2 linked regions of the Anolis sagrei genome follow. Each later gene encodes a partner of the first gene's protein in a complex. Links are inferred from orthologs where the notes say so. Each region holds a gene or a part of one and is shown in the gene's direction. Other genes may lie near its edges. The genes, in order: POLR2B and GTF2H5.

The links.
Region 2: POLR2B (region 1) and GTF2H5 share a complex: the UniProt entries of both Homo sapiens proteins name them as parts of the TBP-based Pol II pre-initiation complex. The link is inferred for Anolis sagrei from reciprocal best matches to the Homo sapiens genes POLR2B and GTF2H5.

The regions. Positions count from the first base shown.
Region 1 is NC_090022.1:195,382,862-195,399,276, forward strand, and holds the start of POLR2B (DNA-directed RNA polymerase II subunit RPB2), read left to right. Parts: upstream 1-8,732; 5' UTR 8,733-8,858; coding exon 8,859-8,877; intron 8,878-11,951; coding exon 11,952-12,024; intron 12,025-12,404; coding exon 12,405-12,555; intron 12,556-13,655; coding exon 13,656-13,768; intron 13,769-14,314; coding exon 14,315-14,534; intron 14,535-15,627; coding exon 15,628-15,786; intron 15,787-16,415. Other genes in the region: NOA1 (nitric oxide-associated protein 1), read right to left, coding at 1,636-1,800, 5,263-6,232. UniProt on the Homo sapiens protein: Catalytic core component of RNA polymerase II (Pol II), a DNA-dependent RNA polymerase which synthesizes mRNA precursors and many functional non-coding RNAs using the four ribonucleoside triphosphates as substrates.
Region 2 is NC_090021.1:69,033,648-69,050,321, reverse strand, and holds GTF2H5 (general transcription factor IIH subunit 5), read left to right. Parts: upstream 1-8,631; 5' UTR 8,632-8,802; intron 8,803-10,817; 5' UTR 10,818-10,838; coding exon 10,839-10,873; intron 10,874-11,389; coding exon 11,390-11,570; 3' UTR 11,571-11,798; downstream 11,799-16,674. Other genes in the region: protein SERAC1, read right to left, coding at 830-919, 2,629-2,765, 4,301-4,337, 5,575-5,666, 8,497-8,504. UniProt on the Homo sapiens protein: Component of the general transcription and DNA repair factor IIH (TFIIH) core complex, which is involved in general and transcription-coupled nucleotide excision repair (NER) of damaged DNA and, when complexed to CAK, in RNA transcription by RNA polymerase II.

The DNA.
Region 1 (16,415 bases):
TTATTGACAGACAGATATTATTATAGACTACAGTTATTATTATTACAGGCATAGATATTATTATTAAAGACTGATAGATATTATTATTGTAGATATTGTAGCCCAGGGTTGCAATAAGGTAAAAATGGATGGCCATCTGCCGGGAGTTCTTTGATTGTGCCTTCCTGGACAGCGTTTCCTGTTTTTGTCCTTTCTTTGCGTACTGGACTTCATTTCCCAGAATTCCTTCCCATAACTCAATATGGGTGAGCTTTCTGGAAGTTGAAGTGTGTAGAGATGTGTGTGTGTGTGTGTATACACATACACACTTATACAGACACACAAAATCCTTCCTGTGCGAGTTCCCAGGCAGCCATGAGGGAAAGGGAAGGAAAGGGGTGGATCTGGAGGAGAGTGCTCTCTCTCTCCTTCTTTCCTTCCTTTCTTTCTCCCCTCCCTCTCCTGTCGGGCTTTTTTTAAATGCCCAAGCAACAATGCAGTGGGAGAAAAGGAAGAAAGGCAGAGAAGCAGACAGCACCTCCAGGAGGAAGAGCAGGCTGGCTCTAGGTGTGAGGAGGAGGAAGATGCCGCCTCTCTTTCTCTCTCGGCTGGCAAGGAGGTGAAATGCTTTGGACCAGAAGTGTTTGAGAGGGGAGAGGCAGGGGCTTGTGAAAAGGATCTATGGGCCACCTTTCCCTCCCTCTCTAAAGTGGTTCTCTCTCTCAGCTGTTGTTCCCCCCCCCCCGCTCATGCAGGAGGGGGGGGGCAGGAGGGTGTCATTTTAACGCATGCTCTGTATAGTCATTTAGCTTTGTAGCAGATTGAGTTCTTTCCGGTTATTATTATTATTATTATTATTATTATTATTATTAATTGTGTGTGTGAAGGACATAGATTGCTTTGATAGGTGTCTTGTGTTCAAATTTGGTGTCAATTCGTCCAGAGGTTATTGAGTTCTGTTAATCCCACAAACAAACATTACATTTTTATTTATATAGATGGTCAAAATAAAAATACTGTGCTTACAGAAATTTCTTACACTGATTGATGTAATAGTTTGGATCCTCTCACTGTCAATCCCGGCAGGCAGTTTTGAAGTGGATCATGAACTAATATCTTTATGGTGCAACTGTACCACATGCTTACTCTTGAGAATATCTGCACTATGCCCCATGCACTTAATTCCAAAGAAGTACAGAAATAACTGGATTCTTAACTCTAGAATTCCACAAAGAAAATTACGTATTTCCACACTTGTATGGTAGTAAATACACAAGTATGAAGCAATTTGTCTCTTACCAATATACAAAAACAACAGAGTTTAGTGTTACAAAAAATGATAAAAACAAAAATCTTTGGAAGTCTGATTATGCTACATTAATAAATAATGTTCTCAAAGAACTAGATTGTGTTTTGTGAATGTATATTATCCCCAATAAATAATAAACATATATAAACTATATGTTTATAGACCTCTCCTCCATTATAGTCTTAGCTGATGATCTCCAAGAATATTGTGCCTAAATTTAGACTGCATTCATATATTACTAGTAGGAGAAAAACAGGTAAAGATTGCAACAAAATAAACGTGTACCAAAAATAAAATTAACTATTTGTGCTATGAAGTACTTAACACAGATCCCAAAAACTACCCACCTATTAAATAGCCTTGCTTTTTGAGAGATTTAAGCAGTTTTCGTTCTTCTTCACTAAGGTCTTCCTCTGTTTTTTCTGCATCTGCCTTCAGCCTTGCTTCCCTCCTGAATATTCGGTAAGGTGTAGGATTAATAATTGGAAATTTCAGCAAGTTCAATGTAGTTCCTAGAAAAGAAAACCCCACATTTGGTTATGACTACATGGACCCAACTGAAAACTAAGATTCTAAAGTAGTTACATAAACAACACAGTCTGTAGAAGTATTATGTGCAGTTTGGCATTCTTGTTAACATCTTAAGAAAGTTTAAGCACCCCAGCCATGGACAGAAAATTAAACGTAGAGGTGGCAAACAGGGAATATGAGAAAAAGGATGAAAAAAATTGTTTCAGTATTTATTCTGCTTTATTTCTGTGTTCTTCAGAACTGGTACAATGTAATAGCTAAAGAACATATCATACAACAAGTGATTCCTAGTTCAAAACTTGTTTTAATTATAACCATATGAGTCACAGACAGGACATTGCATTTTCAACACATTCAGCCATGTATAATATCAGTATAATACTGAATTATGTTACAATGGCCAGGTATGACAAATTGTACATCTTCTTCCTTTGAATCCTATATACATGACGTGAAAATTTAAACTTTTCTGCTATGGTTTATAAAGAACATCAGAATCACTGGGTTGCTGTGAGTTTTTTGGGCTGTATGGCCATGTTCCAGTAGCATTCTTTCCTGATGTTTCACCCACATCTATGGCAGGCGTCCTCAGCAGTTTGTGAGGTCTGTGGGCCATTAGGCAGGTGGGGTTTATATATCTGTGGAATGTTTAGGGTGGGAGAAAGAACTCCTGTCTATTTGAGGCAAGTGTGAATGTTGCAATTAGCCATCTTGATTAGCGCTGAATAGTCTTGCAGCTTCAAAGCCTACCTGTTGCTGCATGAGGGGATTCTTTGTTTGGGAGGTGTTTACTGCCACTTGATTGTTTGCTGTCCGGAATTCCCCTATTTCTGAGTGGTGTTTTTTATTTGCTGCCTTGATCCTGGTGGTTTTTTTTTAATACTGCCAGATTTTGTTCATTTTCATGGCAGTGCCCAAGCACAAATCAAAGAAAACAAAAGGCCTAATTCAACCAGAGAAGTCAGCTATAGCAAAGCACTTGATGAACCAACCTGGACATGGAATATTATTTGAGAACACATACATGCTGGACCACTCTGACAACAATCATGTCAAACTGCACAGAGAGACCATTGAAATCCATCAGAATGTGGACAATATCAATGGAAAGGAGGAAACCATAAAAATGAATAAAATCTGGTCACAAGTATTAAAAAGTACCAGAATCAAGAGAGTAAATAAAGAACAAAGAGAAAAAGAGGAATTCCAGGCAGCAAATAATTAAGTGCCAGTTTATACCTCCAAAAAAAAAAAAAAAAAAAAAGATGCCCCCAGGCAGCAGCAACAACAATTGCTAAAGGCTGGCCCTGTTGGTTTAGCCCTTTTGCCTCAGAACTTGTCTGAAAGGCTTTTCCCTCCTTTTTAGTCTGTATCAGAGTTTTAGAGGAGAAAGCCAGAAATTGTCTGGGTTCCTTGGCCTGGCAATCTAAACAGGCATTCTATAGCACATATATATACAAAATAGTCACTATAGCTTGTACTATACCATCACCATAGCTTAGTATATACCTCACAGACCGTCAAAGCTGTGTATACCTCATAGACCTTCATAGCTGAATTTACCAATAGTTTAGTCCAGTATTTTATTTTCAATAGCCAAGTATTTTACCAAGTGACTTACCACAATTATAGTCAAGTGTTTTACCTCATATTTTATGAATATAGTCAAGTGTTTTTTATCAGTGTAACTAAGTTCCATCAACAAACTTCACTTTGTAATATTTTATCTTGATTCGCCTTTCAAGAACTCTGACTTTCAAGAACTTTGCCTTTTGTTTCCAGTAAACTTATTTGGTTAACTTTGATTCTGTCTCAAGCGTCATTATTTTTAAAGAACTGAAGTACATCAGAGGGTATACCAATAGCCACCGGGTATAGCCAGACATATAGTTTTCCTTTCAACCCAGTGTGCCTTCACAACAATAATATAATACAACTTTATTTGTAACCTGCCCTATCTCCTCAAGAGGAGTCTGGGCGTTTTCCAACATAAAAATGGCTAACATGGTGGGGTATAAATATAAAGTTATTATACAGGGTTAGTCAAAATGCATAGGCCAATAAGCCATTCAATTGAATGGCTTATTGGCCTATGCATTTTGACTAACCCTGTAATTTGCACAATTAAAACTTGTGCGGCAGCTGCGCCCGTACCTTGGGAAGTCTGACTTGGCCACGGTGGTACATGTTCTGGTTACATCCTGTATAGACTACTGCAACGCTCTCTACGTGGGGTTGCCTCTGAAAACTGCCCGGAAGCTACAACTAGTACAACAAGCGGCAGCCAGATTACTAACGGGAGCGGGGTACAGGGAGCATACTACTCCTCTGTTGCACCAGCTCCACTGGCTGCCAACCAGCTTCCGAGCACAATTCAAAGTGCTGGTGTTGACCTATAAATCCCTAAACGGCTCTGGCCCTATTTACCTGTCCGAACGGATTCTCCCCTATGAACCATCAAGGTTATTAAGATCTTCTGGAGGGGCCCTGCTCTCCCTCCCACCGCCTTCGCAATCGCGTTTGGTGGGGACAAGGGACACGGCCTTTTCGGTGGTGGTCCCTCGGCTTTGGAACTCCTTCCCGATGGATATTAGATCTGCCTCTTCCCTCATGACATTTAGAAAGCAGGTAAAAACATGGCTTTGGGATACTGCATTCGCAGAATGATGACTGAGTCAATAACTGCTGACCATTCTAGCGGATGGCGATGAATTTGTGATTCTTTTGGATGAACTGATTTTTGCTGTAATTTGTATGAATTGTATGAAGTGTATTTTAATTTTATGTTGTTAGCTGGCCTTAGTCCCTCCTCGGAGGTGAGATGACCGGGGTATAAAAACTCTAAATAAATAAATAATTAGTGGGTTGTTGTAGGTTTTTTCAGGCTATATGGCCATGGTCTAGAGCAAGGGTCCACAAACTTTTTAAACAGACGACCAGGTCACAGCCCTCAAACTGTTGGGAGGGCCGGATTATAATTTGAAAAAAAACCATGAATTCCTATGCACATTGCACATACCTTATAAAAAACACTTAAAACAATACAATAATTAAAATGAATAACAATTTTGACAAATATAAACTTATTGGTATTTCAATGGGAAGTGTGGGCCTGCTTTAGGCTGATGAGATAGGATTGCTGTTGTTTTGTGCTTTCAAATAATTTCAGACTTAGGTTGACCCTGAGCAAGGGCCGGGTAAATGAGCTTGGAGGGCCGCATCCGGCCCCTGGGCCTTAGTTTGAGGACCCCTGGTCTAGAGGCATTCTCTCCTGACGTTTTGATGCATCTATGGCAAGCATCCTCAGAGGTTTAATAATTATATTATTATTACTTTCCGGATATCCCTTGTATTATTATGACTGGAACATGGTCCTACAGCCCGAAAAACTCACAGCAACCCAATGGAAGCCACCTTCGCAGGAGAGATGATGCCCCGCTGACCTGGCCAGGGTGAGATGGTGGCCCGGTGGATGGCCTGGGAGGCCCGGGACTTGCAGTAGTCAGAGTGCAGGAGGGCGTTGAAGAGGGTGGACTTCCCGGTGTTGGTGGCGCCCACCAGGTAGACATCCCCATTGAACTTCCAGGAGCGCTGCAGGCGGCTGATGAGGTCCTCCAGGCCGAAGCCTGTCTTGGCGCTGATCAGGTGCGGCTCCTCCTTGGCGGGGAGGCCCGCTTGGGCGCAGGCCTGGCGAAGGCTTCCCCGCAGGCGGCGCAGGTAGTCGTGGGAGTCTCCCGGGAGAAGGTCCACTTTGTTGCCCAGCACCAGGAGGTGGGTTTGGTCCCCGACCAGGCTGGACAGGTCGGGCAAGAGCAGCGACTCAGGGAGGTCGAGGAGGTCGGCCAGGAGCAGCACTAAGGGCGGGCGGTTGTGGCGCGAGGGGGCCTTCAAGGCGGCGCCGACCAGGCTGCGGAACTCCTCCCGGGGCAGCTCCACCTTCAGCGCCTGCCGGTGGTGCACCAGGAGCCAGCAGCGTTGGCACACCGCCCCCTCCAGGCCCTCGCCGCCTTCCCCCTCCTCTTTCAGGGCCCGGTACTTCTCGCTGGGCAGGTAGCCAGGCAGAACCGGGTCGCGGCAGTGCAGCTCGGCCCCGCAGCCCGGGCAGCCCACGCCGCTGGCCGGCAGCGACGGGTCCGGGAGGCCCGAGGCCTGGTGGAAGCTCGCCCGAGGCGGCTTCCGGCGCCGCTCTTCCGGCCTCGGGCCTGCTCTTTCTCGCGGCGGCGCGGGAGGCTTCTTCTCCTCCTCCGGGCCCGGCTCTGAGGGGAGGTACTCCGGGAAGACGAACTCCTCTTCTCCTTCCGCCGCGGCCCAGCCCTTGCCCAGCCCCGGGAAAGAGGCCAGGCCGCGGCGAGGCCTTGGGAGCGCCCCAGGCCACAACCGTCCTAGCTGCAGCGCCCGCCTCAGGCCGTTCATGCTCCTCCGTGAGGGAAAGCTGAGGGAAGGGCAGCGAGTCCGAGGGCCAGAGCGGCCCAAGCCAGCCAGCCAGCGAGCGTTCCTTCCGGAAGCAACACCGCCCCCTATCGGAGGCCCCTGGACTCTGCATAACTTCTCCTTTCAGGCTCCTCTGAAATGTGGCTGGGCCTCAAGGCTTGGCAATGGGCCTCAAAGCATTTTTTTCCGAATGAAGCAGAGAGTGTTTGAGGACCGGGACATCCGTAGGGATACCAAGATGCTTGTTTATAAAGCTATTGTCCTCCCAACCCTGCTATATGCCTGCGAGACATGGACTGTCTACAGACATCACATGCAACTCCTAGAACAATTCCATCAGCTGCAGATCTCTTGGGAAGACAAGCGGACAAATGTCAGCATGCTGGAAGAAGTAAAGACCACCAGCATTGAAGCGATGGTCCTCTGCCATCAACTCTGCTGGACCGGCCACGTTGTCCGGATGCCCGACCACCGTCTCCCAAAGCAGTTGCTCTACTCCGAACTCAAGAATGGAAAACGGAATGTTGATGGACAGGAAAAGAGATTTAAAGATGGGCTCAAAGCCAACCTTAAAAACTCTGGAATACTGAGAACTGGGAAGCCCTGGCCCTTGAGCGTTCTAGCTGGAGGTCAGCTGTGACCAGCAGTGCTGTAGAATTTGAGGAGGCACGAATGGAGGGCGAAAGAGATAAGCATGCCAAGAGGAAGGTGTGTCAAACCAACCACGACTGGGACCACCTTCCACCTGGAAACCAATGCCCACACTGTGGCAGAAGATGCAGATCAAGAATAGGGCTCCACAGTCACCTACAGACCCACCCCCAGTACACCGATCTTGGAAGACAATCCTACTCGGACAATGAGGGATCGCCTAAGTGAGGCCTCAAGGCAATAGGCCTCAAGGAACCCCCAGTGGTGCTGAGGAAGACATAGTTTTTAATAGAATTTTCATGGGTGCCAATGAGTGAAAGCCCTATATGTCCTCATTTTGCAGAGGCCTTTGTTTGACAGTTGGGGAAAATGCTGTCACAGAGAGGAAGTTACCTCTCAAATAAAAGTTCATCAGGACAAAACAGGTTAGCTAGTACCCCCTAATTTCCCAGCCGCTTGAAGTCCATGCTTGAAACAGAAAAGCACATAAGATTGGACCACTGAGACATTCAGGGCCAGAAATATGAAAGCATAATTGTGCGATTGTTAGCCACTGTGACTGTTTGCCTTCTTGATTGTTAGAGTCATGGAGAGCCAATGAAAATCGGTTAGTCAGCTTGGACCAATGGAATGATTGATTTTTGTACACCAATGAGACAATGCTTTCAATTTTCTGTGAAAGTGATAAAAAAAATTGCAACCCCATTTCAAGTTGCAACAAACGTTTTGTGCAATGGGCACAAAATGACCTGCTGTCGCCTGTTGCTTTGGCCTGCAATAAAAGCCTTTGTAGAAAGAATCCAACTTGTGGCCTCTTCCTTGCACCGCAGGCCAGGCCTTTAGGGGACTCCTAAGCTCGTGCAGAATTCGGCTGGAGTCCTGCTGGCACATTGAGTTAAACCCTTGTGCCAGCAGGACAGCTGACCAATAGGTCAGCAGTTCAATTCCAGGTTGAGCAGGTCCTTCTGTCAACTCCAGCTCCCCATGAGGGAAGCCTCCCACAAGGATGGTAAAAGATCAAACATCCAGGCATCCCCTGGGCAATGTCCTTGCAGAAAGCCATTTCTCTCACATCAGAAGCAACTTGCAGTTTCTCAAGACGCCCTTGAAACTAAATAAAAAGCCGTCAAGGCAATAGCCTTCAAAGGCAAGGGCAAACTGTGGCACTCCAGGTGTTCTGCACTTCAATTCCCACAATTCCTAACAATTCAATTTCCCACAATTCAACAGAAAGGAGGAAACTATGGAAAAAAGCAAAATCTGGCTACCAGTATTAAAAAATTCTAAAATCAGGACAGTAAATAAAGAACTACACTTAGGAAACAGAGGAATTCCAGACAGGAAACAATCAGGGCCAGTTAACTCCTCCCAACAAAGGATTCCCCCCAGGTAGGAAGCAACCAGCCTTTGAAGCTGCAAGGCTATTCAATGCTAATTAAGCTGGCCATTTCACAGATATATAAACCCCACTTGTCATAGTACAGCACCCAAATAGTTTCGCCATGTGGGCTTTCTTTATGCAAAACCAGTGATTTTCAAGCCTAGCTTTTTCAGCTGTTTTGTACTTCAACTCCCAGCAGCCTCCAGCAGATTGTTCAACAGTGATAAATTTTGGGAAATGAAATTCAAAACATCTGGAAGACTAAGATGTGGAAAACACTGGATAGACTCCATTATTGTCTATAGCAGGCATGGACAAGCTTGTCTAGTCTATAGCTTTCTTTGGCATCACCCTGTCGTGCGCACAATCGAATTGCGCAGGCGCCAAGGCTCAAGCTCGTTCAAAGAAAGCGCGTGCGCGAAGGGCCTCCAAGGCTCTCTCTGGAGTGAACGGAAGTGACGTTTGTAAGCGGGACGGAAGTGCCTGGGAAATGCGACCATAAGCTGGTGCTTTCGCTCGAGCGACGTTCTCCGCCTGTGTTTTCTGCTCCTGAGAGTTTGACTTGCCGCCGCCAAGATGTACGACGCGGACGAAGGTGAGGCCCTGCAGAGGGAAGCCGGAGGGCGAGGGGAAGGCAGGGGAGGCTCTCCTGAGGCGCTACGTCTTCCTCGTTGGGGCGGCTGAAGGGTAGCGATACCCCTGGAAGGTGTCCCTGGTAGCAGCTCAGCAATGGCCACAGAACTCCTGCCCTCTAAAAGAAGGCAGGAATTGTTTCCTTAGGGTGAGATGACGCACGTAAGGTCCAAGAGGCCAAACATCCTAATTGTGACTCCTTCCTCCATTTCTCTCATACACCTTGTCCCTCTCTCTTTTCTACCTTTCTTTCCTTTTTCCGATCCTTTTCCTCTTTCACTTCCCCCACTTCTCTTTCATTCTCTCTTTCCTTTCTCTTCCTTCTTTTCCTTTAATCCTTTCCTTTCCTCCACTCCTCCACTTCTCTCTCTCTCAGTCTTACCTTTCTCTTCTTTTATCCTTTCCTTCCTTTGTCCTTCTTTCTTTTCACTTCCCTTCTTTCTCCCCCCATATATTTCCCCCCACATTCCATTGTCTTCTTTCCTTTCTTTTTCTTCTTTATCTGTTTCCTTCCTCCCGCCGTTCCCCTCATACACATGTCACCTAGGCCCTTCCACACAGCCATATAACCCAGAATCTCAAGGCAGATGACCATATTTGCTTTGAACTGGATTATCTGAGTCCACACTGCCATATAATACAGCCCAGTGTGGATTTTATACAGCTGTGTGGAAGGGGTCCTAGTAGCAGCATCATTCCTTTTCTTTCCCAGTCACATCACAGAGGTCACTTCAACTCACCAATGGCCAATCCATTTTGATCATTTTCTTTCTCTCAGCTTTAGTCCCAAAAGGCTCAAACCCCTCAATTATTTGTGGTGCCAAGCAACCAACGTACATATATACTGATAAATAGATAGATAAATAGATATAGGGCTCTTCCAGACAGCTTTATAACCCAGAATATCAAAGCAGATAATACACAATATCTGCTTTGAACTGGATTATCTGAGTTTGCACTGCCATATAATACAGTTCAATGTGGATTTTATACAGCCTGTGTGGAAGGGGCTATAGATATTCTGAGTGGCCTTAGCCAAATTACTCATTCCTTCCCTCCCCCCACCCCCAATCTGCAACAGAAGAAAGGTCTGCAATACAATGCTTGCAAAACATTTTTCAAGCATATTTATTTTTCATTGGTGTTTACTTTATTGATTTAGGTTATTTGGGTTATTGCTATATATTTGATGTTTTTGTTTGCATTGTCACTACCTTGTAAGCCACCCTGAGTCCTTCTAGGAAGATGGGGCAGGATACAAATAAAGTTTTTTTCTTTTTATTATTATTTAAAACCTTGGAAAACTCTGAACACCTTTAAGGATTATATCAGCTACGTGTTAATGGTGGCATAGCCTGGCCAAGTTGAAGTTTCTAATTACTGAAGCAAGGCAAGATTCGCACCATAATTTATGGTTTTAATTAATCGCTTAAAGTAATTATGTTTCTTTATCCAGGTGGAGGGAGGATTGGGAAGGGAGGATACTTCATTTTAGTGGGGGGGGGAGTTGAAGGAGGAAAACCACTTCCCCCATTTTCACTGGTTATTCCCCCTCCCCACTTCCCTTATCATAGACAAGGGTTGTTTCCATGACAGAGACATGAGTGGGGAGAATAACAGGAAAACAGGGGAAAATGGTTTTGCTCCTTCAACCCACCTTCCACCCCAATAAAATGAAGTATCTTTCTCTAGCAGTCCCTAGTGGCCTCCACCCAGATAATGGAACAGTACCAAGTAAAGTTCACAGCATGGCATGTAATAAAGTAAATTAAAAGCAATGGAGGAAGCACCCTGAAAGCCTTTTCTGGTTACAGTACATTTACAATTCGGATCTCCACTCAGTGGCAACAGTGACCTTTGAGGAAGGGCTCATTCACTGGAAGTGGTGAAAAGGTGTTTGCTTGATGCTTTACAATTTAATAAAATGGTCAACCAGACTTGTCAAAGGGCCAAGTGCTTCTAAACTGCCTGGTGTCATGGGAAGGACAAGTTTAAGGAATTCACCAGCTGCTCTGTACACAATTCAAGGACACCTCTTAGACAGGGTATTCCACACATGAGACTCAGCCTGGATAAGCAGAGCAATTGAGCAACATCTCTCCTCTAACAAATGTTTCATCTTTCCATAGTGGGAACAGCTTGCTCTCACCATATCAGTTGGGCAGCAAATCACTCCCAGTTTCAATTTAAACTTTCTAGGAAGTGTCCAAGGTGCTGAACCCAGTCCTGCAGAATAAGGACTGGGGATGGAACCTTTAACATTTATATTAACATGATAATCCAGTGTAAACTATGAGTACCCTGCACTGCATGGAGTTGTGGCCACCTTTTCAACCAGTACACAGTACAGCTGAAGTAGGGAGTTTGATTTTCTTGCAAGTTGTTGATCTGCTTTAGACAGTGATGTCTTATAGAGCAATTATGAGCATTTTCAGTTGTAACCAACTTTCCTTACTTTACTGTGATATACTCATAAAAATGCCTAGTGCTGTATTCTTAATTCTTGGAAAAGTATTATAATTAGATATATGAAATGCCTTGATATAAATATGAATTCAGATCATGTTTTAGTAGTTTGCACAGAGGGAATCGAATCTCTATTCTTTGTAAGATTCTTGAATAGTAGACCTGGGCAAGGCCTCTGCTTTATTTAGTTTCAGAAGCATTGCATAAGTAAACAAGTTTAAACTGATAAAATAAAGGGATCATAAGCAGCTAAATAGTTTTAGACTCCCAGAAATCCCAGCCAGTTTACTAGCTGTTAGGATTTCTGGGAATTGAAGGCCAAAACATCTGGGGACCCACAGGTTGAGAACCACTGCTTTAGACCAAAAACAGGCAACAGCGACTGCATTGTCTTTAGCTTTAAAACAGTTCTTCCCGTGAAGGCCTCTGCTGAGATCAAAGGAAATAATGTTTGCAATTTTAGAAATAAAAGTGAAATATATTATCCCCATGTATTTTGTGAAAATATTTGCATCGAAAGGTTTTAAAAAAACGACTATGGAAGTGTTGGACTTTGCCTTTTCTTGGCAGATATGCAATATGATGAAGATGATGATGAAATCACCCCAGATTTGTGGCAAGAAGCATGCTGGATTGTCATCAGGTAAGTGTTCATATAAAGAATATGAAAGAATTCAGATTCACTCTAAAATAAACCCTTTTTAAACTTTGTTGAATTCCATTGAATTGAAGAACCTACCCATAATGTCTTCCACAGAAAACAATACATCATGCAACTTGAACATACTAGTATGTTTCAAGTCTAATACTGGAGGAAATTATTCTTCTGAAGTTAGGGATGTTACAATATTCACATGAATCAAAAAATGAAACGATGTATTTCTGCTTTGGAACTCTTGTGTAGTTCACTAACATTTTTATATTAATCAAGGAGGTCTAGGGAGGATATTTGAAGAAGCTATTTTGGAATGCGCTGTTATTCTGCAGTAGTAATTCTCATTGATTTTAACTTGTTTTGCAAAGCTCTTACTTTGATGAAAAGGGCCTGGTCCGTCAGCAGCTTGATTCATTTGATGAGTTCATTCAGATGTCTGTGCAGAGAATTGTCGAAGATGCCCCACCCATTGATCTGCAAGCAGAAGCTCAACATGCTACAGGCGAAGTAGAAGAGCCAGTAAGTTTTGATATGATGATGAAACAAATCCAAAATGTTGGTATTTTGTTTAAAGCAGTTTAGGAAAGGTATTTCATAAATGGGATGCCCTGCAGAAAAGGCTATTTTTTTTTTCAAGAGATGGGCTGGTAGAAGAAGCAGTGTTTCTTTGGGTATTTTCGTTCCAAGCCATTTGGAGCATTTAATACCAGTGCACTGTAGCTAATAGGTAACAAGTTCAGAGCTCTTAGAAATCCTACATTGTTGTACCCATTAGGAGACAAATTCTGCAGGCCACCTTTTAGGCATGTTTCTCATAAAATCAGCCTGGCCAACTAAAGTAGAGTTTGCTTCCCTTTTGTTACTAGTGGCAAGACTAGATCCAAATGCTTCCCAAAATATTTGCATCTGCTTCTTCAAGGAAAGTACAGTCCTGTTTTGAAGGATCTGTACACCAAACTCCCATTTGTTGCCTCTCATCAAAGCTATTAACTTAGTCTAGATACCAGCAATGAAAAATGACATGTGAAACAATAAGACAATCCTTAAGAAACTAATCATTTTACAACTTATGTTCCATGAAGCATAAGCATTTTCCCCATACACTTATCAGAAATGTGCCTATCCATCTCTCTGGTGTCTCTGATTTCATTCAAAATTGTCTGAACATGATGAACTACATATTTTTCATATGAAGACCAGTTTTTTTAAAAAAAAACAAAGTTGCTATTTTGAACTATGTACTTTCTGTCATTAGGCTGATGAAGAAGATGGTGAAGTGGAGACAGGGGAACAGTACCAAATCAGGCCTAAACTGCATAGTGTTGGAGGGGCCATGCGCCAATTCTGCTTGATCCTAGTGAATCATCAGCATGCTCTGCTGATGCAGATGTGCCAGGAGGAGTACAGCCTGGCTGAAAATACCCTATGCTGCCCTCCTTGGCACTCCTACCTACACCTACACTTGCTCCCACCCAGCTTGTCATTTATACATTCCTATATTTTCAGAACACTTAATCTAACTAATAATATAGAACTAGAATGAAACATATTTTATAAGCTGCTACTTGTCATGTTCTGTAAAATGTCTAATCAAATCCATGTGTTTGGGACATTTTCAGCCTCGCTATCTTTTGAAATTTGAGCAAATTTATCTATCCAAGCCTACACATTGGGAAAGAGATGGTGCCCCTTCACCTATGATGCCAAATGAAGCGAGACTGAGAAACCTCACGTAAGAAACTACAGCTTTTATAACTAGTGATGGTATACAGTATATTCCTGTTTCCACTATCCCATGCCCAACCCTTTTATAATTTGCCATGTCTATTTGTAACCCTGGCCATTGGTTTTGTTGAACCTCTACTGATGGAACTGTAATGAAATGGGTTTAAAATATTTTTTTATCTTTGGTGTGCTTTAGCAGATTTTTTTTTTGGTATTTTACGATGCTTTCAGTTGTTATTTTGTCTGTTAAGTTTAATTAGATTGTGTTATAGTGTCAAAGGTGTTTCTCTTGATGTAATTGTGTGTATGGTTTCTTTCCGGCACTGAATGTTTGCCTTACATGTTGGAAACCATCCTGAGTCCCTTTGGGGAGAGAAGATGGTATACAAATAAATTATTATTATTATTATTATTATTGGGTGATGCCTCACTTGTTATTGTTGTCAGAAGTACAGTATAGTAGTACAAAAGATGTAAGCTTGAATTGGTATTATTTAAATTACTTGGGAAATCACTTATATCATTACAAGTCTATTCAACTTCTCTTTCAAAGGTACTCTGCTCCATTGTATGTGGACATAACTAAGACAGTTGTTAAAGAAGGAGAGGATCAGTTACAGACGCAACATCAAAAAACATTTATAGGAAAGATCCCTATCATGCTGCGATCCACATATTGCCTGCTAAATGGCTTGACTGACCGTGATCTTTGTCAACTGAATGAGTGCCCTCTTGATCCTGGTGGCTATTTTATTATTAATGGATCAGAAAAGGTAAGGAGTAGGAATTCTGAAAAAGAAATAGTCTATATAGAATGTTGAATATTTTGCCACATGGTGGCTTCAGTCAGCTTAGCAGTCATGTGTTTACTTTTAAGGCTGTGTCATCTTCTTAAATATAAGAATGAAGTCCCACTGTTCCACTTACCATATATACTTGAGTATAAGCCAAGTTTTCCAGCTCCTTTTTAGGCTGAAAAAGTCATTAATATTATTACATTTATAGTATTTTACTCTATTATTATTATTTTCATTACATTTATATTATTTTACTCTATTATTATAGGAAGGATACATAAGCACATTTACATTGAAGAAGGTTAGAATAATGGTTTAATCAGAGTTGGACAGTCTTATCTTAAATTATAGTTTTATGTAAATATTCAAAAACATTTAACCTACGGATGCCCCAATTAATGTAATTTTATTGGTATCTATTTTTATTTTGAAATTTACCAGTAGCTGCTGTGTTTCCCACCCTTGGCTTATACTCGAGTCAATACATTTTCTTAGTTTTTTGTGGTAAAATGAGATGCCTTGGCTTATATTCGGGTTGGCTTATACTCAAGTATATAAAGTAGTTATCACCACTCAGTGCCCTAGAATGCTGAGCATATTAAGAGAACATGAGTTGGGTCTTTCAATTACATTTCCTACTTAGAACAAACAAAGGAAGGAGTTTAAGCTGAAAGACAGTGATTTTGTTTAAGACACTAAGTGATCTCTATGTTTCCTGAAAGGGCGTTTGGATTGTAACATTAAAAAAAACCCCTGAGCCAAGATATTCCCTATATTCTGTTCAAAACTCTTTATTCTAGTTTCTGGTTCAGATGATAGCATCTCCACTATATATTGGAATGGGATGGCAAATGCCCTGTTGTTGTTGTTGCTGTTGTTGAACTGCAATTTCCAGCAATCTTAGGCAACATAGTCAGGGTGAGGTATGCTGGCAGTCACAGTCTAGCAGCTTTGGGTGAGCTGCCTGATTTTCATCCCTGCTTCCGGAGCCAAGATCCTAAAAGTGTCTAACGTTATGACCATTAACTTGACAATAGTTACTTTAGCTTTGTTTGCATTCTCTGAACAGGTTCTGATTGCTCAGGAGAAAATGGCTACCAACACAGTATATGTGTTTGCAAAGAAGGATTCTAAATATGCGTATACAGGAGAATGCCGTTCCTGCCTGGAGAATTCTTCTCGACCCACAAGTACGATATGGGTTAGCATGTTGGCTCGAGGTGGGCAGGTAAGAATTTTAAATAAAACATCTGTTAATGGAAATGCATGTGGGATAAGGAGGGTGTTCAGTTCTAAACAGATAACCCATGAAAAAGATTAGCAAATATTCTAAACTTCAGGTGTGTGATTTTAAATGTTTGTATTTTTATGAAACTGCTTGAGTCGGTAAAGGAGTGTCGGTTACAATGATCCTAAATTGAAATATTTTAAAATACTCATTCCTTTCCATGTTGTACAAGCTTTAAAATTGGCTTGAGTTGAGCTACTGAAAAATAATTTGGCAGATTTCTTCATTCTTGGGGGGTGGGGGGGGGGTGAGAACGACTTTGTAAAACATAAACAATATGCGGATTATCATGTTTCCCACCCTTGCCTTAAGTTATGCTGCATTCTTAAGACTTCAAGTTTGTTTGTTTTTATTTTACTTGTATCCTGCCTTTTCACTTAAGTTCGGATGCATGACACTAAAATTTCTAATAAGTATAAATTATAAATGTAAATTATACTTTTAAATAGTTGATAAAACACTTTAAAATATGTTAGTACACTAAAGAGTTCAGGCATCTATTTAGACATGGTCTTCTTTGGTGCAAAAGTGTTTGTTTGCTTGCAGAAGGACAATAGGCAAAGAGTTAT
Region 2 (16,674 bases), on another chromosome or scaffold:
ACAAAAAGAGTTATGAATCAGTTTTTGGTCAACTTTAGATTCAGTTTGGTTATTTGGGGTGCTGATTCAGAAAATTGCATTGGACAGACTACATCAGCTCTAGTTTCTGATACAGAACATATGCCATCCAGTAGTTGCCATCTGCTCTCTCACAGAAAACCATACTTAATAAGCCTCGGCACTATAAGAGGGTTTTGTGAGACCAGTCACTCTCATTACAATGGTGTAGTACCGGTGAGGCTGCAGACCATATTTTAGTTCTTGCGGACCACTTGCGGCCCACGGACCACAGGTTGGGAACTACTGATCTAATCTGACCTATCCTTTTCAAATATATCTTAAGAGTATGTCTAATATCAAATGTGCATCATTTTTACTTCCTTGGATGCAGAGGAATTGATGCTAAGCACATGGTGCCTGAAACCTTTCCCCCAGATACATATTTTCGTAAATCAACTTACTATCTTCAAAAATGCATAGATTTAGACAGCTAGTTCCATTATGGTGCTAAAGCTTCTGCAACTTTCAAGCTAGATAGAAGTATCAACAGAAAGGTGGGGAAAGGGTGCTATGCAAGGTGTTTCTGTTGCACTGCAGAAAATCTACAAAGAATCAAAGACGCAACAAAGTGAAGCCCAGTGATCAAGGAACAGGGAAGGAAAGAATGGTTTTGGTGTGCTCAGATTAGTTCAAAACAAAAGAGACACAGAAAGAGGGATTTAAGTCTTCACAATATCCTAATTATAAAGTACCCAAGGCACTATAGAAATAAAAATAGTAGTTAGGTGTATTGTAGATTTGAAAATTCACTTGTTTATGTAAAACATACCATCGAATGGTCTTCGAAAAATTCTGGCAGTTGTTTCCAGAATTTTCCTTACTGCTCTGTGAAGTTCTTTTCTCACCTGGTAGGTAACACCTACAAAAACAATATACAATAGGGAGAGTCAAAATACATTAAGGTCCTTCCTTATTGAGCATACTTATTATGAATAGAATATTGGCTTTACCTTTTAAAAAAAATACTAAAGCTTTTTCTTCCCTTACAAAGTCTCTGGGCATGACTGTGACAACACTTAATACTAGGAAAAGGGTATTATTGGCACCAGTATCAACTCTATGAGCCAAACACTGGCAGCTTCAGTTATGCCCAAGAGTTGCCAAGACTTGTCTATTTGTCTCAGTTTACTGGCATAGAGAGAAAGAAGGATATAATATCAAAGGAGAACTCAGCAGAGCTTTTGCCTCTAGAGCCAGTATGTGCAAACTTTGGCCCTCCAGGTGTTTTGGACTTCAACTCCCACAATTCCTAACAGCCTACAGTTCAAAACACCTGGAGGGCCAAAGTTTGCCCATACCAGCTCTAGACTCTTTTTTCTGAATCCCAGTAAGAGAACAAAAAGATTTCTCCAGTTAACATTGTAAATGACACAGGAATAATCCTGGCCGTAATGCAGCAGTTCTTGGCCTACACTGGCTGGGACATCTGGGAGCTGAAATCCAAAACACCTGGAGGACCAAATATGTGTGTGTTTTAATTTTAATAACTTTTATTTAAACATTTGAAATATAATACAAATGCCTCATCTCAGCTTCTGGTCAAAGGACATTTAGTATGTTGCCAAGTTTTAAGTTTTGTTTATAGTGTTTTGATGCATTAAAACTATTCTCAATTCGCTTCTGACACGATAAATAAATAAAATCTCACCTTCTATTCCCAGATCTATACGCTGTCCCCTAATCCTCCCATTACTTAGATAGCATTATAAAAACACAGTGGCGGAGGACCAAATGTTGAGTATTACTATTCTAATGGAACATCACTTATACTTCTCTACAAATTGACCTCATGGATAAGTTGATACTTTCTGAGCCAAAATTATGGATTTTGGTATGTTCCATACCAAGGAGGAGAAAGCATCAAGAGCTGCTTCAGAGGGCCAGCCGTCAATGGCTACTGCCATTTTCCTGCCCAAGCATACAAAAAAGGCCTTTTACTACTCCAATCGGAAAACGGATGTTTCCTTTTTTAAAATCAAGGTACAGCATTATCATCCTGGATAACCTAAAAGAAGCCCTGAACTGCTCTATTCTATTTGCATTTACTTAAGAGAAAGTGGCAAAGAACCACTTCTGCCCCTGTTTTCCTGCCCAGCTAAAAGTGACACCACAGTAGAAAGACTAGAGGGGCTGGTGCTTCTTTTAAGTCTGTGGTTCTCAACCTGTGGGTCTCCAGGTGTTTTGGCCTACCAGCCAGTTTACCGGCTGTTAGGATTTCTGGGAGTTGACGGCCAAAACCTCTGGGGACCCACAGGTTGAGAACCATTGCTTTAAGTTCTTCTGAGATGTACTAAGCTCTTGTCTTTCACCACTCTACTCAAGAGAAAGATGTGGCTCCTTTATTGATAAGTGTTACTTACGCTGACCCATGGTTACATCAATTCAGGGTTTGTTGGACTAAAAATTCTAGACTTATGCATGAGTATATATAGTACATTTCTCCAATAATCTCAGTGTAACAAAACTCTTTGGTAATGCCCATAATATCAATCCTCTCTTATCACTGTTTTTTTTTTAAGCTGCTCTCTCAAATCTTTCCGACTGAAGCAGTAGACAATAGTTCCTTACCTTGATATCCATCAGTATCTAAAGAAACTGATGGTAAATAAATGTAGGACTTCAGTTTTTCTTGCTGTGCAACTTGAGTATCAAAAGACAGTGATTTCTTTAAAGCCAGAACTTCATATGCAGCAAACATACAACCACTTAAAAAGACAGGTGGAAAGAACAAAATATATCATACCAAGTATAATGCATATATTTAAAACAGATGATCTCTTAAGTGAAAACTGAACTCATCCCTGTGTGCTGTAGTTCTTTGAATGTTCGATCTAAAAATCTGCTTTGGATATAACAGTCCTTGCCCAATATTACATTTCTCCAATAATCTCAGTGTAACAAAACTCTTTGGTAATGCCCAATATTCATCAAACCAGGAACAAATTATGTGAATGTGCACACCCTCCTTTATTGTCTTCCACTGCTCTCTATATCTTTAATGGTCAGTTTCAATAAAGCTATAATGGTTTTTAAATCAGAGTTTTCCCATCGCAACTGACCCAGGCAACTATATTTTAAGGGTCCCATCCAATCTAAGATATAAAATTACCATTAGATCTGGACTCAGAGATAAAATATGGAATCATGCAAAAATGCAGCAGGCAAATTCCTTTGTGAATGCGATCTTTGGTTTTACTTAATGTATTGACTAACCTCTTTTGATTGACTTCAAGTGCCACAGTTCTTTCTAAATCCCATGTAAACTTTGCTTAAATTATGTCATTAGCAGCAATTGTCCAAATATGGGAAGATTTTCAAATTCCCAGTTCTAACAGATAATTTTTGAAAACATGAGACTATCAAGAGACCAAAAAAGAGTATTTTGTACATAAAAATACTACAAATCTTAATGACCTGAGATGAAATGTGGAAGTACGTAAGTATCATGAAAGCCTACTACAATAAATCAGAAGAAGAATGGATTACAAATTTACCATCTGAACGTTCTTTGGTTCGATGCAATGAGTCACTCCAATCATACTGAGAATCAAAGTAATACATCTTTTCTTTTTGTGAAATGTTACTCTTTCTAAGGCACCTTTCTGCATGGGAGGGAGGTGTTGATCAAAGTATCTATATGAGGAGCAGGGTTAGAGAAGGAAACTCTATAAAGAATAGGCAGGTAATTGTTAATTCCTAGACACTGCTGGAGACATCGTGTATGGTGTTGATATGGCTGTATAACTGAAGAAACGAAGGACTTCCCTAGGGCTCATGAAATCAAGCTGAAGTAGAGGTAAGTGGAGACATTTGGTAGAGTCAAGCATTAGATGAGACCCAGCACTACATTTCTTTGGAGAAAACAAAAAGCAATATCTAGATGTGTTGAAAGAACATCTGACTAAACAAATGTGAAAAGTGACCAAGCAGATCACGTGTAAAATGATTATTATTTTTCTTTTATTTTGGAAGTGGCCTTCATTATTGGTTATGACTGTGTACTACAGGCATTCATAGTAAAATCTGAAAAATGAATATATGTAACATTTTAAATTTCAGTAGCAGAGGGACAAAAATAATATCACGTCAACAACAACATTTTATTAAGGTCCAAAGACCCTTATTGCACCATAGGTGTATAAGGTATGCAGGTTAATGAGATTAACAACATCCAGTTGATTAAACACACTTCAGTTTGAACTATATGCATGAAAATAGATGCTTTCTAATTAACACTTACCCAAGAATAAGTGATCCAGTTAACTTCACAATTTTCCCTTAAAAATAAAATGTTCAGCATTAGTATATACATGCAAAAAAGGCAGATTTTAGTATGAGTTCCCCATGACAGCAGAAATGACAATTTGCAGTGGTAGAGGCTAATTAGTTATACCCAGATCCCACTAAAATCAATATGTGAAGATTGTAACACAAGAACAGCTAATTTTCAATAAAATTCTAGGGTGTTTATGGCAAAGTAAATCTCCCTAAATTCAATGGTGTTTACTCCTAGGATTAAAGATCCGTGAGCATAAAACTGCAACTTTTGTAAGGATTAAATCCAATGTTGTTGTTGTTGTTGGTTTTTTTTTTTTACAAACCATTGTAAAGATATTAGAGCTCAACAATGAAGTTCACCAAATGCAAGGGACTTAATTCAATAATAATAATAATAGTAATAATAAACTTTATTTGTAGACCATCCTATCTCCCCGAAAGGACTCAGGGCTGTTTCCAACGTAAACATGGCAAACATTCAATGCCAAAAAAGGAAAATCATACAAACAAATTACAACAAAACAGACCACATTAAGCAATCTAAAATGTGAGTAAATGTTTGAGCAAATGTTCAAAGAATTTGCTATTTATTTCAATTAGAATAATTTATTTTGTTATTTTTTCACATGTATGTTCCTTCCACCTTCATTCTGAGAAGTTTCAAATTAATAGTAACTATTAACAATTTATTCTGATTTGGAAAGGGCTTTCCCACTTTATTTTGAATGAAGCTTTATATTAAGCAATGTTAGCATTATTCAATTTTTCCTCAGGCTGCTACAGTTCCATAGCATGTGACAAAAAGGGAAGTTTGCTCATTTCTCGCATAAGTTTTCAGAACTACAGAACAACCATGGCTACTTTTTTAAAAAATACTGCTTTTCTGGATGCTGAAGCTTCTCACTAGTCTTCAAAAGCCTCCTATAATCATGTAGAAACCTCCCCCACACTAGAAAATATGCAAAATTATTGCCCACAAGTATCCAGAATACCTCTGTTTTCTTTTGCACTCTCAAAATGTTGAAAGGAAAAAATATCTTTACTTCTTTTGCCAATGTCCACTTTCTTCCTGTCACCATTTTTGAAAGTGGCTATAGAAGAAAACCAGCAAATGGGCTTGGTTTATGTGGGGAGAGGGGGAAATTGACCCCTACCCTCATGCATTTCCTGGCCCCTGCCTTAGAGTAATAATAATAATAATAATAATAATAATAATAATAATAGATTTGCACTTACTGATATTTTTCCATGATTGGTCGGGTTTCCTGGCTGAACCCAGAGTTCCTATCTTTCTACAGCAATTCCCACAATAAGCAGCCAGTGACATTCTGCAAAAGTTTGAAATGGTAATTTAACAGGTAGGTCCTCATTCAAATGTCTTCTTTCTACAGCAATTCCCACAATAAGCAGCCAGTGACATTATGCAAAAGTTTGATATGGTAATTTAACAGGTAGGTCCTCATTCAAATGTCTTTCTCCTACACCCTAGTCCCATTTGTCACCTGCGCTTGCCCTAGTGTGTCCTAAAGAACAGCAAGTATCACGTTTTAGAAATGTTTAAATGAAATGTATGAAATACATTTCACACATGAAATCTTTGTTTATAACAATAAATATTCCTAAGACAGTGAAACATGTACAGAAAAACTCTTAAGGAACTTTAAACATATTTTTCCATGTATCTTGACTGGAAATGTCTATGTGATATAAGGAGCATAAAAGAGAGGAAGCAGAGGGGAAGGAAAAATGTAGCATTCCTTTTAAAACTAACTAGTTCCTATTTTTGCATGAGCTTTCATGGATATAAAACCCCATTTTTTGAATGCAGTACAAAGAAGTGAATTTATATTCATGAAAACCCATGAAGATTATTTTACAAAAAGTTAGATTTAAAGGCGATGTTACAATGTTTTCCTTCTCCCTTTTTTTCTTTTCATACTTCAAGAGATTAATACAAAAAACACATCTCTTTGAATGCAACATTTCAGTTTTGTAAACCTTCACGTATCAGCACATAAACGAGATTAACTGCTCTGTAGAAAACACTCCCAAGGACACACATCCCACACACTGCAATGTGGTAGTAAATTTCAAAATCTTGCATTGGACAGACTGAAGATTTCATCCAGGTGAAATGAGAAAGATTTCTATTGAATGCTCCCCACCCTACCTTTGGGTTCAACAAGTTTTCATCCTACACACAGAGAGAGAGAGAGAGAGAGAAGGTGGATTCATCCATCTTCACTATATAATTATCCCAGAAATGTATACACCCTTAACAGCGGACAAGTCTGTAATATTTATTTTTGCCAGTTCCCCACTATAGACTTTTATCTCGCAATTACCCCTTACAAAGGTACACACCTTTAAATGGATCAAATACTCCAATAGCAGTGTGAAAGAATTACGAGAATGATATTAAATGAAGTTTCTAACCTTTGTACTTTTACAAGGCAAGCAACAATGCAGGGACAATATGAACCTGACATGAAATGGTAACTTAAAATGGAATGTGGAACTGATTGGTGTTTTATGTTTTTAGGATAAACTTTTAATTAATTTAATGTTTACTATTTTTCAATTCCATTTAGGTGTTTATATGTTTTTGTTATTAAATTGTACATTTTTTTATTTTTAACATTGTTAGCTGCTTTAGGTCTCTTCTAAGAGAGAAAAAGTGGAATATACATAATAATAATAATAATAATAATAATAATAATACAACAGATCCCAAATGTAGATTCTGCAAGGAAGCAGATGAAACAATAGATCACATCCTGAGCTGCTGCAAGAAGATCGCAGACAGACTACAACTAGAGGCACCGTTGCTCAGATGATTCATTGGAACTTGTGCCACAAATACCATCTGCCTGCGATAAAGAACTGGTGGGATCACAAGCCGGAAAAAGTTACAGAGAATGAACACGCCAAATTCCTCTGGGACTTCCGGATTCGGACAGACAGAGTTTTGGAGCATAATACTCCTGACCTCACAATCGTATTAAAAAACAAAATATGGATCGTCGATGTCGCAATCCCAGGTGACAGCAGGATTGCAGAGAAACAACAGGAAAGGCTAGTACAATATGAGGATTTAAAAATCGAACTGCAAAAACTCTGGCACAAACCAGTAAAGGTGGTCCCAGTGGTGATCGGCACACTGGGTGCAGTGCCTAAAGACCTTGGCCTGCACTTAAACACAATTGGCGCTGACAAAATTACAATCTGCCAGCTGCAGAAGGCCACCTTACTGGGATTTGCATGCATTATTCGCCAATACATCACACAGTCCTAGACACTTGGGAAGTGTCCGACGTGTGATCCAATTCAACAGCGATCAGAGTATCTGCTGTGGACTCATCTTGTTGTGTTTTAAATAATAATAATAGATAAATAGTTATTATTGAATCATGGATAACAATTATTTTTTAATATAAATATTTTTACCTAACCCTCAAATAATCACTCTATCACAGGCATAGTCAAACTTAGGCCTTCCAGGTGTTTTGGACTTCAACTCCTACAATTCCTAACAGTCTCAGGCCCTTTCCTTTTCCACCTCAGGCGTTTATGCGGCTAAGGGGGAAAAAGAAGGGGCCCGAGGTTGCTGAGAATTGTGGGAGTTGAAGTCCAAAACACCTGGAGGGTCCAAGTTTGACCATGTCTGCTCTATCTGGTGTTAAAGAGTGATGGCTATCTATCTACGTATCTATCTATCTCTATGAAATCTATCTCTCTATGTTTGTGTATATATAGAATATATAGAATATATATATATATATATATATGTACATACATATATCATTAATACATAATATAATATACAATAATATATGTATAGAGGGGATTATTGGTTCCAGCCTGGAACTCTGACCTTCCAAGACTTTTGGACTTCATTTCCCAGAATCCCTGACCATTGGCGGAGGCAGCTGAGGCTTCTGGGAGTTGAAGTCCAAAACACTTGGAGGACTAGCTTGCTTCTCAAAGGACAGAAAAGTAAGAGTCTAACGAAACAGTCAATAAAGGGAGGCCGGTCCCTAGCTGTTGTATAGAGATTGCAGTACTCCCAGGTGCCTTGGTCCCCTTTGGGCTGTGCTAGTGAGCCCTGAAGCCGGGGCTTTCCTCAGGGCGAGTCTCTCCTCTCCCCTCCCTCCCTACCTGTCCATCTCAGCCGCCAGCCTCCGGCTAACAAGCTCCTCAGGCGTAAATCCAGCCAGAAGCCACGCCCACAGGAAAGTCAGCCACGCACGCGCAGCCAATCAAGTTCCATCCAATCCGGTGTTGAGTCGACTAGGCGCATGCGCAGTGTCGACTCTTCTAGAGCCGCGAGGGACATCCGTTCCGGCCGCTTCCGGTTGGTGGACAGCAAGCGAGCTAGAGCTTTTGCGTCGTCAAGGCGACGTCGCTCGTCGAAGGGAGTGTGAACAGGAGCAGGTTGGCGGTGCTTCGTATCTCCTCGCCTTGGTGGGCTGTCGGCCCTGTGGTTCGGTTTCAGTTTTGTCCCCCAGCTTGATTGTTCCCCGCCTACGTACATGGACGCATCTACACTGCAGAATTAATGCGGTTTGGCTCCACTTTAATTACCATAGCTCCATACTGTGGGATCATTGTGGGTGAGGCAGCCACGCTCTTTGGCAAAGAAGGCTAAAGACATAATAAAACTGCAACTCCCATGATTTCAAAGCATTGAGCCCTGGCAGTTAAAGTGGTGTCTTGCTGCATTAATGCTCTAATGTACAAGGAGACCTTTCTTCAACTGTTTGTGCATATACAGGTTAAGCATCCCTTGTTTGGAAATCCAGAATTATCCAAAATCGCCCACATGGGTTATAGAAATAGTGGTATTACTATTTTACTGACACAAAAACATAGTATGACACAGCAAATAATATATAAACAACTTACCTATCCGAACGTGTCTCCCCTTATGAACCGTCCAGGAATTTAAGATCATCTGGGGAGGCCCTGCTCTTGATCCTGCCTGCCTCACAGGCACACTTGGTGGGGACAAAGGACAGGGCCTTCTCAGTGGTGGCCCCTCATCTGTTGAACTCCCTTCCTGGGGATATTAGATCAGCCCCCTCCCTCCTGACCTTTAGGAAAAGAGTAAAAACCTGGCTGATCAAGCAAGCTTTTGGAACCTCATTGTAACCAGATAAACTTAGTATTGTGAACGAATATGGAATGGCTTAATGATGCAAATTGACATGGATTTAAACCTAGACGTCATTTATTTTTATAGTTTTAAATTGTTTTTATATGAATTTTATTATGTGATTTAACCAGTTTTAAACGATGTATTTATGTGTGTTCAGCATCTAATTATTGTCAGTCGCCTTCGGGCTGAAAAGGGCAGGATAAAAGTGTGGTAAATAAATAAATATGCTGGATTTCATATCACAAAATCACAAGTCAAACACTTCCCAAGCATTTAGGACTGTGTGATGTATTATTATTATTACTATTATTATTGTGTCTATATCACGCTTTTTCTCTCCATACAGCGACTCAAAGCGGCTCACAACAGCATTGCAATACAACTTAACATATACATATAAAATCACAGGAGCCCTTGACGATCTTAAAAACTTTCAAAAGCCTTTGCAGTCTGATATAGTTCAAGCTCAATGTTATTAATATAGTCTGTAAAATTACCTTCATATGATGTGTATACAGAACATTAATTTTGTGATTAGATTTCCAAGATATCTCATTATGTAGGTATATGAAGATGTAGGTGTTTCAAAATCTGGAGGGGAGACACAACTGAAATCCAAAACATTTCTGGTTTGAAGGATTTTGGTTAAGGGATTCTCAACTTATGTTGCAGTTTGCGGTTTCTCGCTGATGAGGGATTGCCTTTCATTTGGCTTCAGCAAATCCAGAAAAGGGTTTTGGGTAGCATTGATAGACCTCCCCCATCTCCATTCAAACAAACAAACAAAAAATAACATTCGTTGCATGCAATGCTTCAGTTCTGTAGAAACTTTCTAATCAGTATGTAGCCTTGATGAACTATTCTGCAGGCTGTACTCCTGAGAACATGTTCCCAGATTTTAGACCCAAACCATGGGAGTAATAAGGACAGCCCCTTTTGATGGCACAGGATGGTGGACCTTGGGGATGTTACTGTGCAGTGTGCCTTAAGTATCCACAACAGTTGATCAGAGCATAGCATTCACATAAAAAGCATCAATTCTCACGAGGGAAACAGATACACCTTTCAAGGGAGTAGTTAACCTTGAGATTCCTTCCCTTGCCCAAGGACTCAGAGTAATGGGTCCCAATTACAGGAAAGGAGATTACACTTGAATCCTTGCCATAAGGAAGAACTTCTTGGCTGTAAGAGCTGTTCAAAATAAATTCAATTCTTAACATGTATAGGATTTAAATGAACTGTTCTAACAGGAATTTGTTCAATTTACCAATGTGTAGGGTTTTTTATCCCCCACTGAATATTTTCCTACTTGTTTCTTTAGGAATCGGACACATTTGGGAAGATGGTGAATGTTTTGAAAGGAATACTTATAGAATGGTAAGCAGCAACATATTTGTAATCAGTCATACTTCAGACATGTAGAAGTGGATTAATATATTTGATAAGAAAACCTTTCATAAGGATTTCATTATCATAATACTGGAAGTATTTTTACAGTGATAGTGCCAAGTTCTTTCTTCAGAAAAATAATCCTTGACTTAAAAATATTTTGAGTTTCCTCAGACTTGGCTGTTAGCCATTCATAATCCTTGGGATAACTATCAACTACTATGTTGCCTTAACAGTTCTTGTTTAACCATTTTTAATAATTCTCTCAATAATTTCAAAGACGTCATTATTGAAAACAAGAGTATATTGTCTGCGTAAATGATTGTTTAGTCACTCTTCCAAAGAGTGGATTAAGGTTCATGACTGTGGAGTGACAAACTACTACTGAATAATAATTCATTCTGAGTGCACAGAAGTTTAGTTGTGCTAAGGGTTTAGTTGTGCTAAGCTTACTTCACTTACATGTCATGTGGTAAGATAATATATGTATTTGTATCTTCACAGTGACCCAGCTATGAAACAGTTCCTGCTGTACTTGGATGAGTCAAATGCCCTAGGGAAGAAGTTCATCATACAAGACTTGGATGAAACGCACGTTTTTGTGTTAGCTGAGATGATTAACTGCCTGCAGGAGAAAGTGGGAGAATTAATGGACCAGAACTCTTTCCCCATTACACAGAAATAGACAGTGGGTTAAGTATTGTCTCTTCCACACTGTACTTATCATGTGGAACTGAAATTCTCTGTATAGATTTTCCTGGTGACTGATTTGGGTCAGATTGGATAGATGTCATCCCTCTCATAAATGTGCTGTTATTTATTTAGATTATGTGTGCTTAGGGGTTTTTTCCCCCCTAAATGTGAGAAGTATTTGCAGTTCTGGTGAAAATAAAGTGACTGTCATTACATGTTATTTTGAGGGTAATTTCTTTCATCTTATTAACCTCTCCTGTGTGCCAAAGATTGAGTGAGTGAAGGAAAGGAACAATGCCTGCCATAGATGTGGACGAAACGTCAGAAGAGAATACTTCTGGCACATGGCCATACAGCCCAAAAAACTCACAGTAACACAGCTGTCTATAATTACTAGAAGCTTGTTTTTAATTACAGGTTTTTTTTTCAAAAACGTGGCGCCAATTTGAAATTGTTGTATCTCTGCAACTACAAACTGCCCCTGAATGAAACCTTTACCACTTGAAAGGGTGGCTCGTAGACTTTCAAATGATTACTGCTAGATGCCTCTCCCAGGCCACAAACAGCCCCTAGCTCTAGTCATTTAGCCACAATTGCCAAAGAGTTTTGACAATTTGAAGAAACAGGCCACTATGCATTTCTGAGGAAAACTTGATAACTGACTAAACAGTTTCTAATGTTTAGTGTAATCATAACATTTTGCCATTGTGAAAATGCTTTGAAACTGGGACATCGTTTTGAAACATCTGGGGTTTTTTTTTTGCTCTTTTCTTTTGATATTCACGGCTGCTTTGAAAAGCCTGATACCAATCTCATATTGAATAATAGAAGTGCTTATACTCAGCCTTACGTGTGTTTACTCTGAAAAATATCCTTGAATTCAGTGAGCAGCCTGTGTAGAATTATTTCCTTAGAAAGAGTATTCTTGTGAATCATCTGGAGTTGGACTTTATGCCCTTGGCAGCCATGTTCATTTCCTAATTTTTAACACTAAATTCTGTACTAGGGTTCTGTTCACAATTATTTATAAATAGCAAATAAGTAGCATAATCATTAAACAAAGAGCTTTTTCTAATATTTTTGATCATCCAGTGACATAATTAATGTATAATATCAACATAAATATTACATGTGAATACATGGCTAGAAGCATAAAATACAGAGCTAATAAGCAATCGTTTATACTATCAAAATAAACAATTATCTTGTCTGCATTTATTTTCACTATATAGTACAGTGGTTTTCTACACTACATGGTACTAATGCAGTGAAAACATACAAAATAATGATGTTGTAGCTCATCCAAGCTGTATAGCCAATATCTGCAGGAGCCTGACTGGATTTCTTTGAAGAGGGCACAGCTACTAATGTGCAGAGAAAAGGCCCTTGTTTATTTGTGATCTATTCCTCAGTTTCTAACTCAAATTATGTTGCATGTAAATTACATTGTAACTGGGTTATGAAACAGTTCCTGCTTCACAGTCTGGATCAGTATCATAAGAAATAATTGTATAGCTAATTTCTGACCTCAGAAATGGTAGAGAAAGGAATTAAACAAAGTTTCCAATCATGGCTCTGAAGTGGTTAATATGCATCCCTTCACCTAGTTCTATTGAGCCAAATATTTTCCCATTAATTTAATGCATGCATGATCACAATGATGCAATGCAGTTATAATATTGTATATATATATATTAATTCCCATTATTTTAAGGTATTAATAGCCTCATGCAATAATACGTGAAGCTTTGTTCTTCCTCCTGTTTTTTTTTTTTTTTTAGTTCTGAAGGTTATTTGCCTTATAGCTGGCGGATTTTCTGGATTTTCCATATTTACCTGGGTTTCCAAGGTTGAATTTTTTTCTGGCAATCAATGGATTAACATATATCTGTATATCTCTTATGTATCCTTAAGTCTTGATGTATCGGGAAATTGGCAGAAGAATGAGCTGTTACCATATACATATAAACATGTTGTCCTCAGCTGCACAGCTTCCAAAGACCTTGAATCAGTCTATGCACATTCTTATTGAAAAACAATACACTCCCCCCCCCCCCAAAAAAACCCCCAATCCTCTTACTATAAGCATGTTTGTGTACAATTAGTTCTACACTGGCATTTTGTTTGTAAGGAGCTTAAAGAAAGGAAGAGAGCTTGTCACTTGTAAGAATTTTAGTTATCTATTGTGCTGCAGCAGCCTGTAGGTGGGCCAGCTTTGCTGAAAGGAAAATGTGATGCCTTGGTGCTCAAAAGGCTGCCCGCTCTCTATTTAGCAATTAACTAAAATATCTCAACACTACCTATCATGTCATCTAAACAAAGCAAAGATCTTAGATAAGTCGCTCTGGATCTGGTTGTTTTCTTTGGCTTACTTCCATCCTGATTGCATCAGCCAACAACCCAATAATGATGGATTTGTTATAAGCCAGGCATTTAATTTTATCTCAAGCTTTCAAACCTATCTTTATAATTAGGTTAGTAGCAGGCCTGGAACTAGTCCACCCCCATTGCCATGACACACCACTGTAATACCTAAGTATTACAGCCTCAAGAACTTAAACCAGGCAAATAGAATTCCAAAAATCAGCACAGCCTGTCGCAGTCAATGTTGTTCTCATTCAAAATTATAATAACACAACTACAATAACTTAATTGAAAGGGAATAACACTTAAGAGTTAAGACCATCTGGGGATAGATATTGGCGTTGAACAAAGATCCAAGTTCAACACTTGCATTCAATAACTCACATTACCAGTTACTTTCTTCCTATCATTTTGCCCCAGAATATGTTCTTTGCATTTTGATCTTGTTCCCATAGATAAGAGAAATAAGAATATGAATTTAATGTTTCATCTCCATTGCATAACATATTCCTAAATATATTTAAAATCCTTTGTTATTTCAAATCAAACAATCACATACTCATCTCAAAGTCTTATTAAAGGGTATATGCCAGTAAGGGGAGCTCTTGCTACATTTTTGAAGAAAATTAAAAAATACAATAACTCTGTGTTTGATATATTTTCTGGTTCTTTGCGTTTGTAGTATATAAAGCAGGGAGAGGAACTTTATCTTTTAATAATTGATAACTTGTATAATTTTATTTTTATTACTATTAACTTTGGTCCTATCGGATATTGCACAATTTACTTTGGAAAATGTGAAACAATCAGGTATCAGAAGATAATCCTTCTTTAGTGCCAGGAAACTCTATAGGCTAACCCAGGCGTGCACAACTTGTGAGCAATAAGAGGTCACAATTATATAGGCTGAGCCTCTTGAGACTGCAAACAGGTTTTAGCACCTGACTTTCCAAGTAAGGTATAATTAATTATTAATTAGAATTGACTTTGTGTGCCTTGAAGTTGTATCAGGCTTAGGGTGACCCTATCACAAAGTTTTCTTGTCAAGATTTGTTCAAAGGCGATTTGCCTTTGTCTACCTCTGAGGTTGAGAGAGTGTGACTTGTCTAAATTTACTCAGTGGGTCAGGACCTCCCAGTGGTGCAATGGGTTAAACCCTTGTGCTGGCAGGACTGCTAATCGAAAGGTAGGCGGTTCAGATCCAGGGAGCGGGGTGAGCCCCGTCTTGTCAGGTCCAGCTTCTCATGCAGGGACCTGAGAGAAACCTCCCATAGGATGGTAAAGCATCTGGGTGTCCCCTGGGCAACAACTTTGCAGATGGTCAATTCTCTGACACCAGAAGTGATTTGCAGTTTCTCAAGTCTCTGACACACACACACACACACAAAACCCTGGGCATTCAGAGCCATTATCTGAGGTTCAAACTACTACACCATGCATTACAAATTCCTTTCCTCTCTTTTTCCTACAGACCTTTCTTTCTTCCTTTTCTTCCTTCTTCCCTCCCCTCTCGTTACCTTCCTCTTTTTCTTTATTTCTTTCTCTCCTCCTTCACTCCCCCCCCCCTCTTTTTCCTCCCTTGTTTCTTTTTCTCTCCCTTTCTTTTCTCCCTCACTCCTTCCTTTCCCAGGGACAGGTGGGTGATGGTGAGCAGGTGGCCAAGGCAAGTGGGTGGACAGCTGCTGCAAGGGAAAGGGGCATGGACAGGCAATGGCACTTGGCAGGCCACACCAAGGTCTTGTGCGGACCACATATGGCCGGCACGCCATATGTTGTGCAAGCCTGATATAGATAGTGATCCCAGCAGGATTGAAGCCTGTATGCTGGCTTGCAAATCCATTGCATTTCCCCTGTGCATACTATACATTTAACATTTTATGCTATTTTGATTTAGGATTTCATTTTTCCTGAAATCCTCTTTAGATCAAAAAACAAAAAGTTATGGGAGCAATGCATGTTTCAGCATGGCATAATTGTTGGGTAGGACTGCAATATCAGTCCAACGCTATTCTTCCAGGTGGGGCACAAATGTAAGATGTGCCCAAAACTGAGCAGGAAGGCAAACAGACAACAAACAATAAATTTGGCCGAAGGATCTACCAAGTCCCAGCATTGCTTTCAGTCCAACCTTATTCACAGCTTTGGATGAGAAAGATAAAGTTTGATCCAAGTATCAGTATTTTATAGAACTTCTAAGTTATAAAAATGATGTCCCTATGAAGTGAGAGACATCCCCAACTGAGAGATTCAGCATATAATTCCATCACCACAGAATGGTTGTGCAGTTAAATATTTTTTCTGTAAGCCATCCATACTAAAACAGAATAAAATATGCTATAGTCAGTTATTTGCAGATTTGATTTGAGATTCTGATAGTGCATTTACTATCTGTCTTTTTCTCCTCCTTTTTAATTGCTGCCATTAATGTTGAGTAATTTATTTTATGCCATCCTTTCAGATGTCCCCTTCCACAATGACGACTGTATTAATTTGAGTATGCTCTTTATTGCAGCTTGCAGAGAAGAAAGCAGATTTGTTTAATTGCCCTCTCTGTTAAAGTATTTAGAAGCCGACCCACTGATATGACACACAATGTTCTAAAAATAAACTACGATCCTTAGAAGATTTAAGCTTTTTAAAAAGCAAGGCTTTAAACCTAGTAATCAATTTAATTTTATGAGAATCTTAGTAATCCAACAGTCATTAATATTAACAATGAGAGGCATTGAAGA